2 linked regions of the Kluyveromyces lactis genome follow. The protein of the gene in region 2 interacts with the protein of the main gene of each other region in a biochemical or structural test. Links are inferred from orthologs where the notes say so. Each region holds a gene or a part of one and is shown on either strand. Other genes may lie near its edges.

Region 1 (5,539 bases), about 890 kb from region 2:
ACATATACAGTTCTCAACATTTACCTATCTATGTCTTCTTATCAAGATAGGGTCATCCCTAGGTGTGGAAAATTATGCCAAGGAATTAATCGGGTGTGTTTTGCGATGAGGAAAAAAGTAAGTTGCACATTGAAAAAAATGTCAAATTTACACAATATAAGTACCTCTTTCGATTTTGTCCACCTATTCTTGCAACATTCCAGTGCCTACTCAAGCATAGCGTCTTGGATTGGACTGAATCTTTACCCACTTAAGCACTCCCAAAATACCCCTCCAACACACTGAAATGTCATTGCAGCAAGAAGGATCATCATCGGCGTCATCATCCTCATCGAGAATTAGCCAGAGGAACAAACAAGTTGGGTCTCAGTCTGAAGAAAATTTAACCGTGGAAGCCTTAAGAACACAAGAACTATCAGTAGGTCTGATTGTAAGTGCTTTTGTACTTGTGTTGAGCTGCGGTGTCATTTTCCTACTAGGAGTCAACATCGTGATCCAGTATCGTACCATAAACTGGGGTTATGTACCAAAAGCCATTTTGAAAATGACTTACATATTGTTAAGCGTGGTCTCCATCTTCTATATTAACAAATTCAACCTGTACTTCTTCAGATTGATGAACAACAGAGACACGTCCAATGCCTACGCTAGCATCCCACAACTGGAGCCTGTTCAGATGAAAACAGGCGTGTAAAGAACCAAATACTGACTTTTCCATCCATCTCAGACATCCTCATATAAATATACATATAAGTATATCATCATATGCAGTTAATTAAAGCAAAACCCCAGAAAAAAAAACCGATATAATACGAATTGAATTTCAAAAACCACAGAACGTGTGAACTGTATATCAGGGTGTCAGCTTCATACCGATCTTGTCTTCTGTACATCCTTGGTGCAACTAGCACCTCCGTCCTCTTTATGGATGGACGGATTATAACGGAAACTTCCCAATTAAGTTACATAATGAAACACCAAGTTACCCGGATATGTTCGAACGCGTCAATGCAATATTTAGAAAATGAAAATAAGAAAGGCGTTTATATCTATTTACATTAAGATTTTTCGTGTTAGTTGAAGGATGGGTAGCTTATTCGGTCAGCTTACCATCTACATCAGCTGCAACAAGCCGCTTATAATTGAAGTTGCAGTACAAGTTATCCTAATAAACTTGTGATCATTTTTTGTTTTATTTCGCTGATTTGTAGAGATATTCGTGTTCCAAGATGGGTAGACTTATCGGGTTAGAGCTGCATAATTTCAAGTCGTATAAGGATACGGTGCAAGTTGGTTTTGGTGAGTCTTACTTCACCAGCATCATTGGGCCCAATGGTTCTGGTAAATCGAATCTGATGGATGCCATTTCCTTTGTGTTAGGTGTGAGAAGTAATCAGTTAAGGTCATCGGCGCTTGTAGATTTGATATACAGGGGCAGAATTGAAAATGGCGATCCAGATAACGGCAATGCTAAGAGAATGCACCGATCCGACGCTGATTCGGAAGCTGGTCCAGAGAATGCCACATATTCGGAGGAAGAACCAAGAAGTGCATATGTCAGTTGCGTGTATCAAAAAGATGATCTTGATGAACCAACAAAATTCACAAGAACCATCAATACATCTGGTGATAGCGTTTACAAAATCAACGATAGAGCTGTGAGCTATAAAAAATATAACGAGGAATTAGAATCCGAAAACATCTTGGTCAAGGCGAAAAACTTTTTGGTTTTCCAAGGTGATGTCGAAAGAATCGCTTCTCAGGGACCAGAATCATTGACGCTATTATTGGAGCAGGTTTCTGGATCTATAAACTATAAGAATGATTATGAGAAATTGAAAGAAGAGCATAAGCTGGCTTTAGCTGAATTCACAGACGCTCATAATTCAAGGAAAAAAGTGCAAAACGATTTGAAAAGTTTTAAAGAAGGTGTCCAACGGGATGAGCAATATAGAACGAGTTTAGAAATTAGAGATCAGTTGAAACATAACTTTATTTTATGGGAACTATTCCATATCCTTAAAAGAAGGAAGAAACTGGTAGATTCTCTAACAGTTTCAAAAACTGAAACGACTGCGTTGAAGAACAAGCTTTCAGACGAAGAAAGAATACTGACCAAAATCAAATCCACAACGGCTAAACATGAACTGCAATTGAGTAAGTTGAAAGATACGCTCGTACAGTTAGAAAATGAAAAAACATCGTTACAGTCATCTTTACTACCTGTTGGAAGCGAGAGGTTAGCTACCATCAAGAGAATACATAACTTGGAAAAAAGAATATCCTCATTCAAGAAAGATATGGAAAGGCAACAAGCTTATGTCAAACAATTCGAAAATCAACTGAAGGTAGTTTCTAAAACAAAAAAGTCGTTTGAGAAAGAGTTAGAAAATATTCATGCCAATCTCAATAAATTCAATTTATCTGAAGAAGATTTAAAACAATATGAGCTATTGAAAGAGAAGTATTTAAGTTCTGGAGGCTCTCATATCGAGGAAAAGTTGGCTATCTTAAAAAACGACGAGTTTGAACTAAACGAAGAGAGTGAACTTATTAACAAAAGACTGAAAACAACCAGGGAACGCATAAGTGACGAATTACAGGTCGATGTCGATGCTTTAGAAGCAGATCTCAACGAGGTAACACAAAGGTTGAATGATAAAAACTCGATAGCAGCTGCTAAGTCTAAAGAATGGAAAGGTATTCAAACTAATCTTGAGTCCCTAAAGAATAAGGAATATGAACTGAATTTTAGCTTGAGAGACGTACTTCTGAAAATTGACGATCTTAACGCTGATCAAAGAGAGACCAAGAAGGAAAGAAAACTAAGAGAGAATGTTTCTATGCTTAAGAGATTATATCCCGGTGTGAAAGGATTAGTACACGATCTATGTCATCCGAAAAAAGAGAAGTATGCGATTGCAGTATCAACGATACTTGGTAAAAACTTTGATTCCATTATAGTCGACAGTATTGCTACCGCACACGAATGTATCACGTACCTTAAAAAGCAAAGAGCCGGTTCAGCGTCTTTCATACCTCTTGATACAATCGACGTCAATCCACCATCATTGCCGGTGTCGAACGTACAAGGCTGCCTTTTGACTATTAATGCTATCGAATACGAAGGCTACCTTGAGAAGGCAATGCAATATGTGTGCTCAGATTCTATTATTTGTGATAACCTAGACCTAGCTAAAGAATTAAAGTGGTCAAGAAATGTCAAGGCCAAACTAGTGACATTGAATGGTGCTTTAATACATAAAGCTGGACAAATGACTGGTGGTACGGCACAGAAAAACCAGAATAGATGGAATAAAGATGAATACCAAGGACTGATGGTATTGAAAGATCAAATTACCGAAGAATTGACAGCGCTATCAGACAAATTCAGAGCTGATAACATGAAATCCAGAGAGCTGGAGAATGAAATATCTTTGTTAAATAATGAGATTTCGAGTTTGAGAACTCAGATCACCCAACTTGAAAGAACTTTAAGTGGAAAAAATGTCGAAATCAAGCATAACGAGGATTTGATTACTACAGAATACGAACCTCAGCTTAAATCCTTCACTCAACGTATCGAAGAATTGAAGAGCAAATTAACTAAGTTGGAAAGTGAGAAAGATGTTTTACAAGAACAGATTTTTAGACCTTTCACCGATAAATATGGCTTCTCAATTAAAGACTATGAACAAGGTACTGGCGAAATTATGAGAAAGCACTCCAAGGAGCTTCAACAGTTCCAGAAACAGATTCTCACCATTGAGAACAAATTGGAATTCGAAAAGGACCGTTTGGGAGCTACTGCGGCACGTCATACAAAAGCCTTATCTGACATGGATAAATTGAAAGAGGCTCTGGGTTCATTAGAGAAACAAGAGGACATAATAACGGAAAAGATCAAGAATGCAGACTCAAAAATTTCACAAGAACAACAACTGGTAGCCATTCAACAAAAGGAGCTAGATGAAAAAGTGCACAATCTAATTTCATTTGATAGTAATATTGCAGAAATTCAATCGAGCATGCAAGCCGCAAGACGAAAAGTGGATGAAATCAAAGAAGATATTGAAACACTCGACCTTGAACAATTAGGTATACTGAAGAATTGTAAAGTCTCTAACATAGAGCTACCGCTACTGGATTCGTCGTTAGAAGATATTTCCATTGATGTTTTGGATTCTAACAATACAGGTATAATCTCTGATCTCGAGTATGATTTTACTTCTTTACCGGAGAAGTACAGGCTAAATGATGGCGAAGAAGTGAAAGAAGAGTTTGAATCGGAGATTAAAAAGGTGGAAGAAAAATTAGAAATTCTACAACCTAATTCTAAAGCTGTTCAAAGATACGATGAGACAAAACACAAATTAGATCAAGTATCGAATGAGAATGAGAGACTGAGGAATAAAGAAAGAAAAGCGAAAGAGAAATTTCTTGAAGTCAAAGCTAAACGTAAAGAGTTATTTGAAGCGTGTTTCAAACATGTTGATAAACACATTGATCAGATCTACAGGGCTTTGACCAAGAATCCACATGATAAGTCCGAACTAGCCGGTGGTAATGCTTCTTTAACAGTTGAAAATGAGGACGAACCATATTTAGGCGGAATTAAATACTTTGCGACCCCACCGTTGAAAAGGTTTAAGGATATGGAATATCTTTCTGGTGGTGAAAAAACCATGGCCGCCTTAGCTTTGTTGTTCACCATCAATTCATATCAACCCAGTCCTTTCTTTGTATTGGACGAAGTAGATGCCGCTTTAGACATCACTAATGTTGAAAGAATAGCACATTATATTAAGCGGAATGCTAATCCAAATGCCCAGTTCATCGTTATATCGTTGAAGAATGCTATGTTTGAAAAATCCCAATCACTAGTTGGTATATTCCGGGAACAAGAAGATAACTCTTCTAGAATGGTTAGTTTGAATCTCGAGAATTATGATGAAGATTGATGTAACATTATTTGCAATTTAATACACCTAAATCATAAGTACATACATAATAGATGGTACTACTTTAAACAAGGATCTCTTCTTTGCATATGTTAAAAGACTAATAATTTATTTAACATTTAGCGCTTACGTAGTTATGTAGTATAATCCAACTGAAGTTGATAATGAATCAAAAGAGATTTACAACCAATGAAATACACACTTTATCATCATCGTGAATTATTCTCAAAGTTTAATTTCTGTTTCCTTATCCCAGCTTTCGTGATCGAATCTCCAATGCAACATATTTGCATCCTTCTTTTCTTCCGAAACCAGTGTTCCACTAGGTAAGTTCTTCACTGATATATTTGCCAAGATGGCTAATTTGGTAAAGGTGTCAGGATCTTTTTCGGAATAATCGTAATCCTTGAACCATCTTCTTTGCCAATCAATTCCCTTAGCTTCTTCCTCCCTTCTAAGTTCTCTTTGCTTTTCTTCGAGCTTAGTTTTTTCTTGATGAATCAGATCAAAATTACCAGATTTCGTTGCAGCAGCTACAAGTTGCCAGGCCTTTCTAGATTCCAGCGGATGTTGTTCCT
Region 2 (7,493 bases):
CTCTTGGTAATTCACTTCAGTAGATAATTCACAGAGACTTAATAGCGATAGAACACGTAACTTATCCAGGACGAACTTATCAAGACCTGCTGTAGTCTCTTCCGGTAAGTCATCAATATCGTAAAAACAAAGAATAGCCAATAACTTGGTTTCTTGGGCATCTTTACATTCCATCCACCATTTCTTATAGTTTATTACCGTTTTGTCTTCTATCAAGTTACGTAGCAGTTCACGCATCATGAGCCACCAAAGATTTCCTAATTGATGAAGTGCTGGGAGTAATTGTGCTATGGACTCTAAACTCGAATGAGTTGAAGGTATTTTTTTTTTTTCCCGCTGCGCTTGTACAATTAAGGTTTTTCTGTTATGGCTAAGGTTTGGGAGCAATAGAATATTTCTACCAAAAACATCAACAAAACGTGAATGTCAAACAAAAAAAGGATGGTCGTTCCATTGAGAAATAAAAGGTTAAACATTGTCAAATAAGACTGAAGAATTGAGGTTGTGTCAGCTCTAAACTGGTTAAGCCGTAATGCCGACGATATTATACAGCTCAAATTCGAAGCAGCTATCAAGATTCCAGCGCAAAACCAAGATCAATGCAGAGCAGCTAAATACAAAGATCAACACGAACGACGCTCCGTTCATATCAGAACAGAATAAGGACTCAAGAGAGTATCTCATAGAACTATGTTGTTCAGTTTATCCGACGGAAATCCATTCGCAGATCTTTCGATGTCCTGATTGGAAACTTCCTTTACATGCCATCTTGGTACTACTATTGAAAAACTTCGTTACCTCATGGTACGGGGAGAAAATTGTAACATCGGACACCGAGCTTTTAGTACATCTGTATGAACTTGTTGATGATGTGTTAGATGATATTCATAATACAAATATTTTGTGGGAGCAAGTAATATGTGATGATTTACCCTTATTTGTAGAAACACAAGTTAAGATAATGAGAAGAGTGCTACAAGAACAGTTGTTATTAGATGACTTTTACCAGCTACAATTATACAAACATACTTACCCCCATGCGATTGCTGAAATTATAGTTGAGAGATTCAGTAGTGGTTCAAGATTGCATAATGCCTTTTTACGAGATTTCTTCGGTGATTTTTTACTAGACAAGTTGACTGAGAAGATTGCAGAGCCATTCATAGTGATAGACATAGTAAAATCTATCTGCGAGAGTCTTCTCAGGGAAAAGGCAGAGAACTGTAAGCTAAGGGATAGAAAAAACTGGATTCAAAAAATGATGCATAAATTATGGTCCACTTTTCAATTGAGCAATAAAGAGGTAACTACTAATCACGTTCTTCGAAGAATTGATCAACCCGACAGTGGATTTTTCAATCACTATTTCTTTTCTGCCATGAATGAGTGTTTTCAGTTAGAAACGAGAAAACCACTACTGTTTTTAGCGTTCAAAGTTTCCCAATTTTTTGGCACCAAGATTGCCTTTGTTTCAAATATAGCATCTCAAATATTCCAAAACATTGTGACACAGAGGGTGCTCAGTGGAGAGTGGCTGATTTCCTCCAGCTTGAAAGTACGACATTTGCTCTTTCCTCATGACAACAAAATGGGTCCTGTCAAGACTGCACCAAGCGCAAGTGAATTCGTGATTATGAAGAAGGAAGCTTCAACAGCATTAAATCAAGTTTGCCGAAAAATGTATATTGACAAGATTTTGGGCATTGATTCAAACGACTGCGACTTAGTTATAGATGCTTTGGCATATGATAGAAAAATCAACCAATTCATGATACAAAGATTAGTTGATTATCTGCTAACTTCGTTTCCTGTATTTTCAGCTTCTTCAAACATTCCTTGATTGTTCCAGCCCAATCTTCCTTCAAAACTCGGGTTATATCTTCATTGAAGTTCCCATTTTGGTCTACAGATTCTCCCCATATCATTCTAAAACCGTCTGGAACGGGAATGATTTGCTCATGTATATTAAAACCAATTTTTGTCCGTATATAAGCTGAATGTAATGCGATTTGAAAGTCACTGTCAAAAACCTTCTTACCACCGTATTTCAAGTCATTATAAATTGGCGAATCAAGAACTTGCTGTGTAAGTTTCCGTATCTGATGCTTCTTCCCAGTTACCAACTGTAAAATTAGGTGTTCATTGTCGACACGCTGAAAATATGTGATTGCACCATTCCACTTTATGAGACCTTCTTTACACTCATTCGCAGTCTTAGATTTTCCAACTTTTGCGACATACTTTCTAGTTAGTGAGAATCCTTTATTCCCGCCATACCTTAGATTTCGACTAAATTGTTGTGCTGACTGTTTGTTTACAGCATATACTATTCCACCGGATACTGGTGTGTCAATCCTGTGGATGGGGTAGTACGATGGTTCATATGTACCGTCCTTCAGGATGCTTCCACTAGAGCTTTGAACAATATCCAATAACACTGGGGGATCATAGTCGTGAGTATTGTACCACGTTCGTTTGTCAGGTAATTGAGAAAGGGCCAAGGGTGGCTTATTAAAAATTACGTGGTGCTTGTCACGCCAGAGCTCTTGTACTTTTAAAGGGAATTCCACTTCACAATGTGTAGCCTTAGCGTTTGTCGACTCCGGGGAGACGATTTTAAAGATCTTCACGAAAGGGGGTTGTTTTATGAAGCCTCTACGTAGCATATCAATTAGTACTATGATTTAAGCAATGCAGATGTACAGGAACTAACGGTTTTCTCCTCTCAGCTACATTCATGACTACTTATGCTTCCCTCATCATTCTCATGATATTTTTCTCAAAACTGCAGCAGCCTTTTTCAAATCAAGAAAGCCGAATAGATATATAAATAATTAATGAGACGAATACTAGATCTCTACAGCAATGAACGGTCAAACGATTTCATCAAGTTGAAAGAAGCAACAGCAGATAGTTTACACCCGGAAGCTCTATTTCATCTGCTTTTCTCTGGGCATTATCATCTTCTTCAAATAATACTGCCTTTCCAGTAATATTCTGATTACTGAGCAGTGGCGGCTATGGCGAAAGGGTTTCCAGGCGAAACTGACAATGAGATTCCCAAACGCATCTCTGAAACACTGAAGTACCAGCCAATTAACCACATAGTACCGAAGTCAGGGCTATCTAATTTGCTGAGTTCTTCAATAACCGAAGATATCAGTATTTCATGTAACAGTGCGTTCGGTTCACCCCCATCTGAACATTGGCTATACCCTCACCCTATCGATTTCGACCCATTTAACGAAGGCGACAGGGACCCCATTTTATTCAGGAGACCCAATAATATTACTTTAAGAGATGAGTCTCAAGAAACTGCTCCTGATCTGAAGCTTCTGAAAAATCTTCCACAGCTAGGAATCAGGTGCCTGACTGTTACAAGCCTGGTCGATTCTGCTAGTATTGTTGCGAATGTTGCTGGAAATCAGAACACAGCTACTAAAAAAAGAAGGCTAGAAGCAGGGGAAGACAAGGTATTGCTGAATGAGCTGGATTCCAAACGGATTCAAATTTGTGTACAATCTAATCCGATGAATGACTTGGAAGTTGGAAAACTTTGTCTTGATCATCTTTCGAAATTGTTAGATTCTGTCGGACTCAATTCTGAAGGGAGTGTTAATGAAAACGCTAAATTCTGGAAGCCATTAGGTGATGTTTACGTTGCTACTTCGGAGGCTATAGATGCAATATCGTTGACGATAAATAAAGTTCTAGGATTTCCGATGGTATTTGAGTATATTGATGTTCAATCTCTTAAAAAAATACTGGGTCTTTGCACTAGAAATATCAAAAGAATCCTAGCATATCAATCAGACAATGAATCTGAGTCCTTAGATCTGAATAACCTTACGTTTGGTTGCGCATTTTTAATTCTTGAAGTTATGATGATAGATCTCAAATCCGCAAACCTTCAGTTAGAAGAATATTACAATGCTGTGTTCTCAGCGCTTGATAATGCGCTCGAGAAGTTACATGTTTCGGACAACTCAAGAGGTATTAATGCAGATATTGGAAATATATTCTTATTCATCAATTTATTGGAAAAGTTTGTCGCCTCTCAATCATACTTGGACGAAATGTTTTTGATCAAATCAGTGTGCATTTGCTGTGATATGCTACTACACAGATGCTATCAACACTTAAACACTAATGTGCTTTTATCGCAAGCGGAGCGGATAAAAGACCTTTCTCTTGGAATATTAATATCACTTTTTTCTGAGTATCCATCTCAGCGGCTATTTATTACGGAAGAATTATTATCACACGTGCATGATATAGTAGTCTCAAAATCCACTAAAAAACTGAAATTGGTCGATGAATTTGAGAATGGCTACGCATCGTATTTTACTGTCGCCCTTGTTGCCATGTTCCAGTCAATAAATGCTTTGCCTGATGCTGAGCTATTGTCAGATTTTACGTCTGAATTGCTTGAAAATGTACTGTCCGAGAATAATGCCGCAAGTTTGGAATTGAAAGGACTAATCGATAACGTCACAACAACTTTATTCGAAGGATTGATTACGAATCCTTTCAAATTCAAATCAATTGTGGAGATTTACATCCAAGATTTGCTAACTATGATAGGAAACCCGAAATGGGCGTATTCTCATCATTTATTAGAAGCTTTTTTGCCGAAATTGTTTCAGATATTCAGCCCTACGTATCAAGGAACAGGAAACTTCGAAGTGCTTGCTATTCAACTTGTCGGCCAAATTACTGCCACTTTGACAGACGTTAAACTGAGGGCTGCATCCGAGGAAAGTAGGGATGTAAAAAGGATATTTAATTTGCAAAATGAGTACAAAGAGTGTTTCGATTGGTTGGGTTCGCAGACCAAGACATATTTTTCCGATAGAGCATTGTGGAATGAATCACTTTTTTATATCAGTGAGATGTTAGATCAGAAGGAGATAGACAAAACAGACGCACAGGTAATGAATTTTGTTATACGTATAATAGCAAAAGAAATAAGGGAGACAGAAATAAGCGAGAAAGAAATAAGCGAGAAAGAAATAAATAATGGTATCGATGGTAATGAAAGAGTTCGGTCCCTTTACATGAAAATTGTTTCACTTAGTCCGTTGTTTAACTTTTATGAACCCGCTTTGAGGCTCATTCTTTCGTTATTGGATCAACAAAAAGTAAAACTTAAATCAGGAGCAGTTAAATGTTTGACCCTATTAGTATCAAAGGATCCTCAGATGTTAGATACTCCTTTTGTTCAGGAAACCATAAAAAACAGACTCTATGACTCTTCGGCTTCCGTTAGAGATGCAATTTTGGATCTTCTAGAGCAGGCCACAACCTACATTCAATTCTACCGAGAAATAAACTGTAACTTTGACGATGACAGTATAGCAGTTCGAAAACATGTTATGCGGATGAATGAAAAGATTCTTGATACAAGTTCCGACCTGAAAATAAAGACATTCGTTTTAGAAAAAGTCTTGAGACGAATTGAGGATGAAGAGGATGTTATCGTGGAAAATGCCAGGAAACTATTACTTCATAGACTAATTTTGAGACATAGTGCATCTGACTTGTCCGTAAAACTGCATAGATTTGATTTATCAGAAACCCTCGAGCTATTATCAACACTCATCGGTTATGGTGGCAAGACTGAGGAACTGTTGGAGTTCTTCTTTCATTTTTTCGTATTGAACCCCTCCATTCATAAGAATGAAGATACGAAGTCGATATTTGATGCTTTAAGAAATCTTGTTAATGTACTTATTGAAGAGATTACTGAGAATGCAGCATCTGCAGACGAACTGAGTGAATCGAATGCAAGAAATAGATATGACCTACTTTATTTTTTTGCCAATTGTCCGATCAATTTCATATCAAAACCGCATCTCTACTCACTCTTTCCATATCTTTCGTCAAACTTTAACGGTAAATGTTATTTACTGCTTTTGAAGGTCTTTCGCTCCTGCATTAAGAAACATAGCAATATCAAGCTCAAATTTTTGCACGATCTAGAAACCACCCTACTTGCGAAACTCTCAAAGCTCAATACGAGAGAAATCGAAGAGGCTTTGGCAATTTGTTGGGAGACCTCAACTAAAACAAGAAAGGAAGATAAGCTTCTAAAAGTATGTGCCTCATGCATCGAGCAATTACGTCCCTATGTAACCCAGGCTGTGACCGCACCAAGTTCCTTGAAGCTTGATGGAAAAGTCCAAAGACTTATCTATTTATGTACTGGGTTTGCTCGCATGTGTCATTTTAAGGAAAACGAAAAAAGGTTAGAATTTCTCAGAGGTGACGAACACTTGTACCAGTACGTTACAAAGTGCCTTCTTACGTTCACAAATAAGAAACTAGCCACTCCTCTGAGAAAAATTGCGATCAAGAACCTAGTGAAATTGGCGTCATCTTTTCCCAAACTCTTCAACTCTCCACCTGTTCTAAAAGTTTTAGATCATGAGTTCGAAGCTGGTGTCCTAGACACTAAACTGACAATCATTGACTGTTTACAAGTGTTCTTCTCTAGTGAGGAAAAGAAAGTATTAATGAAAATAGGGGCGAACGGTACCATATCATCAAGTTCAGAGATGAGGAGATTGATATCAACACAAAACACTACCGAGTCTGTCAATGATGGCGTCTGTTCAGCATTAGTTACCAGATACCTTGACAGCATCATGGATTTATGTTTGCTATCGGATATAAAAGATGCTATTGTTGCCATCAAATTTCTACAGCTCACATTGAATTTTCACTATACCAATCCGTCACATGCTGTTCCTACACTTATTGCTCTTTCATGTTCAGACGCGAACTCAGTAAAAACAGTGTCGACCAGACTGTTGTCCACGATTTTTGAACAGTATGAGAGTATGGTATTTAACGGTCTTGCCGCTGGATTTAAAAAGTGCTGTGTTGTTTTCAAGAGCCTGCTCCCATCAGAGTTGGAGCGCAAAGATCACTGCATGAAACGCCTACAGTGCATATTATCCAACAACAAAAAAAACGGCAAAAAATACGTAAGTGTTGTCAAAAATCTTACTATATCAGAATGTTATAAAACACATTCTGTTAGCAACACCGAGCTACTTTTCTTATTGCACAACATGAGTCAGATTGATTACGGAGATAGTTATGAGCTCTACGAATTCTTGAGTACCATGTCTCTAGTAATTGATGAGATTGACGAAACCATACAAGATATTCTAAGTATTCAAGAGGACGATGAAAAGAATTCGAAAGCATTTTCCCTGATCAAAAGGCGAAAGATCATGTCTAATTTCAAAACCCACATGATAAGTATACACAATCTTTCATCGGAAAAACTGTCGTTTATTGGCACTCCGGAAGAAGCGACATTGAAAGGTAGGTCAATTAGCACAATTTCAGATTCCCCTCTAGCTATCGAAAGTATCGTTTTCGAGAATCTAACAAATGAAGAAATAGATCAGCAATGTCTCGAATACCAGAAAGAATATGATGCAATTTATTAATGTCCTCTAATTACTCATCAAATTTATGTT

Evidence for each region.
Region 1: the proteins of SCC2 (region 2) and SMC1 are reported together in a solved structure, tested with the Saccharomyces cerevisiae proteins (2 studies listed by BioGRID, with this or other methods). The link is inferred for Kluyveromyces lactis from reciprocal best matches to the Saccharomyces cerevisiae genes SCC2 and SMC1.

Annotation. Positions count from the first base shown.
Region 1 is NC_006040.1:642,173-647,711, reverse strand, and holds SMC1 (cohesin subunit SMC1), read left to right. Parts: upstream 1-1,229; coding exon 1,230-4,961; downstream 4,962-5,539. Other genes in the region: KLLA0_D07524g (uncharacterized protein), read left to right, coding at 287-694; oxysterol-binding protein related protein HES1, read right to left, coding at 5,187-5,539. UniProt on the Saccharomyces cerevisiae protein: Involved in chromosome cohesion during cell cycle and in DNA repair. Central component of cohesin complex. The cohesin complex is required for the cohesion of sister chromatids after DNA replication.
Region 2 is NC_006040.1:1,530,562-1,538,054, forward strand, and holds SCC2 (cohesin-loading factor complex subunit SCC2), read left to right. Parts: upstream 1-3,020; coding exon 3,021-7,463; downstream 7,464-7,493. Other genes in the region: CSN9 (Csn9p), read right to left, coding at 1-240; NVJ3 (Nvj3p), read left to right, coding at 533-1,840; pseudouridine synthase PUS5, read right to left, coding at 1,767-2,666. UniProt on the Saccharomyces cerevisiae protein: Plays a structural role in chromatin and is involved in sister chromatid cohesion. Forms a complex with SCC4 required for the stable association of the cohesin complex with chromatin, which may act by hydrolyzing ATP from SMC1 and SMC3 heads.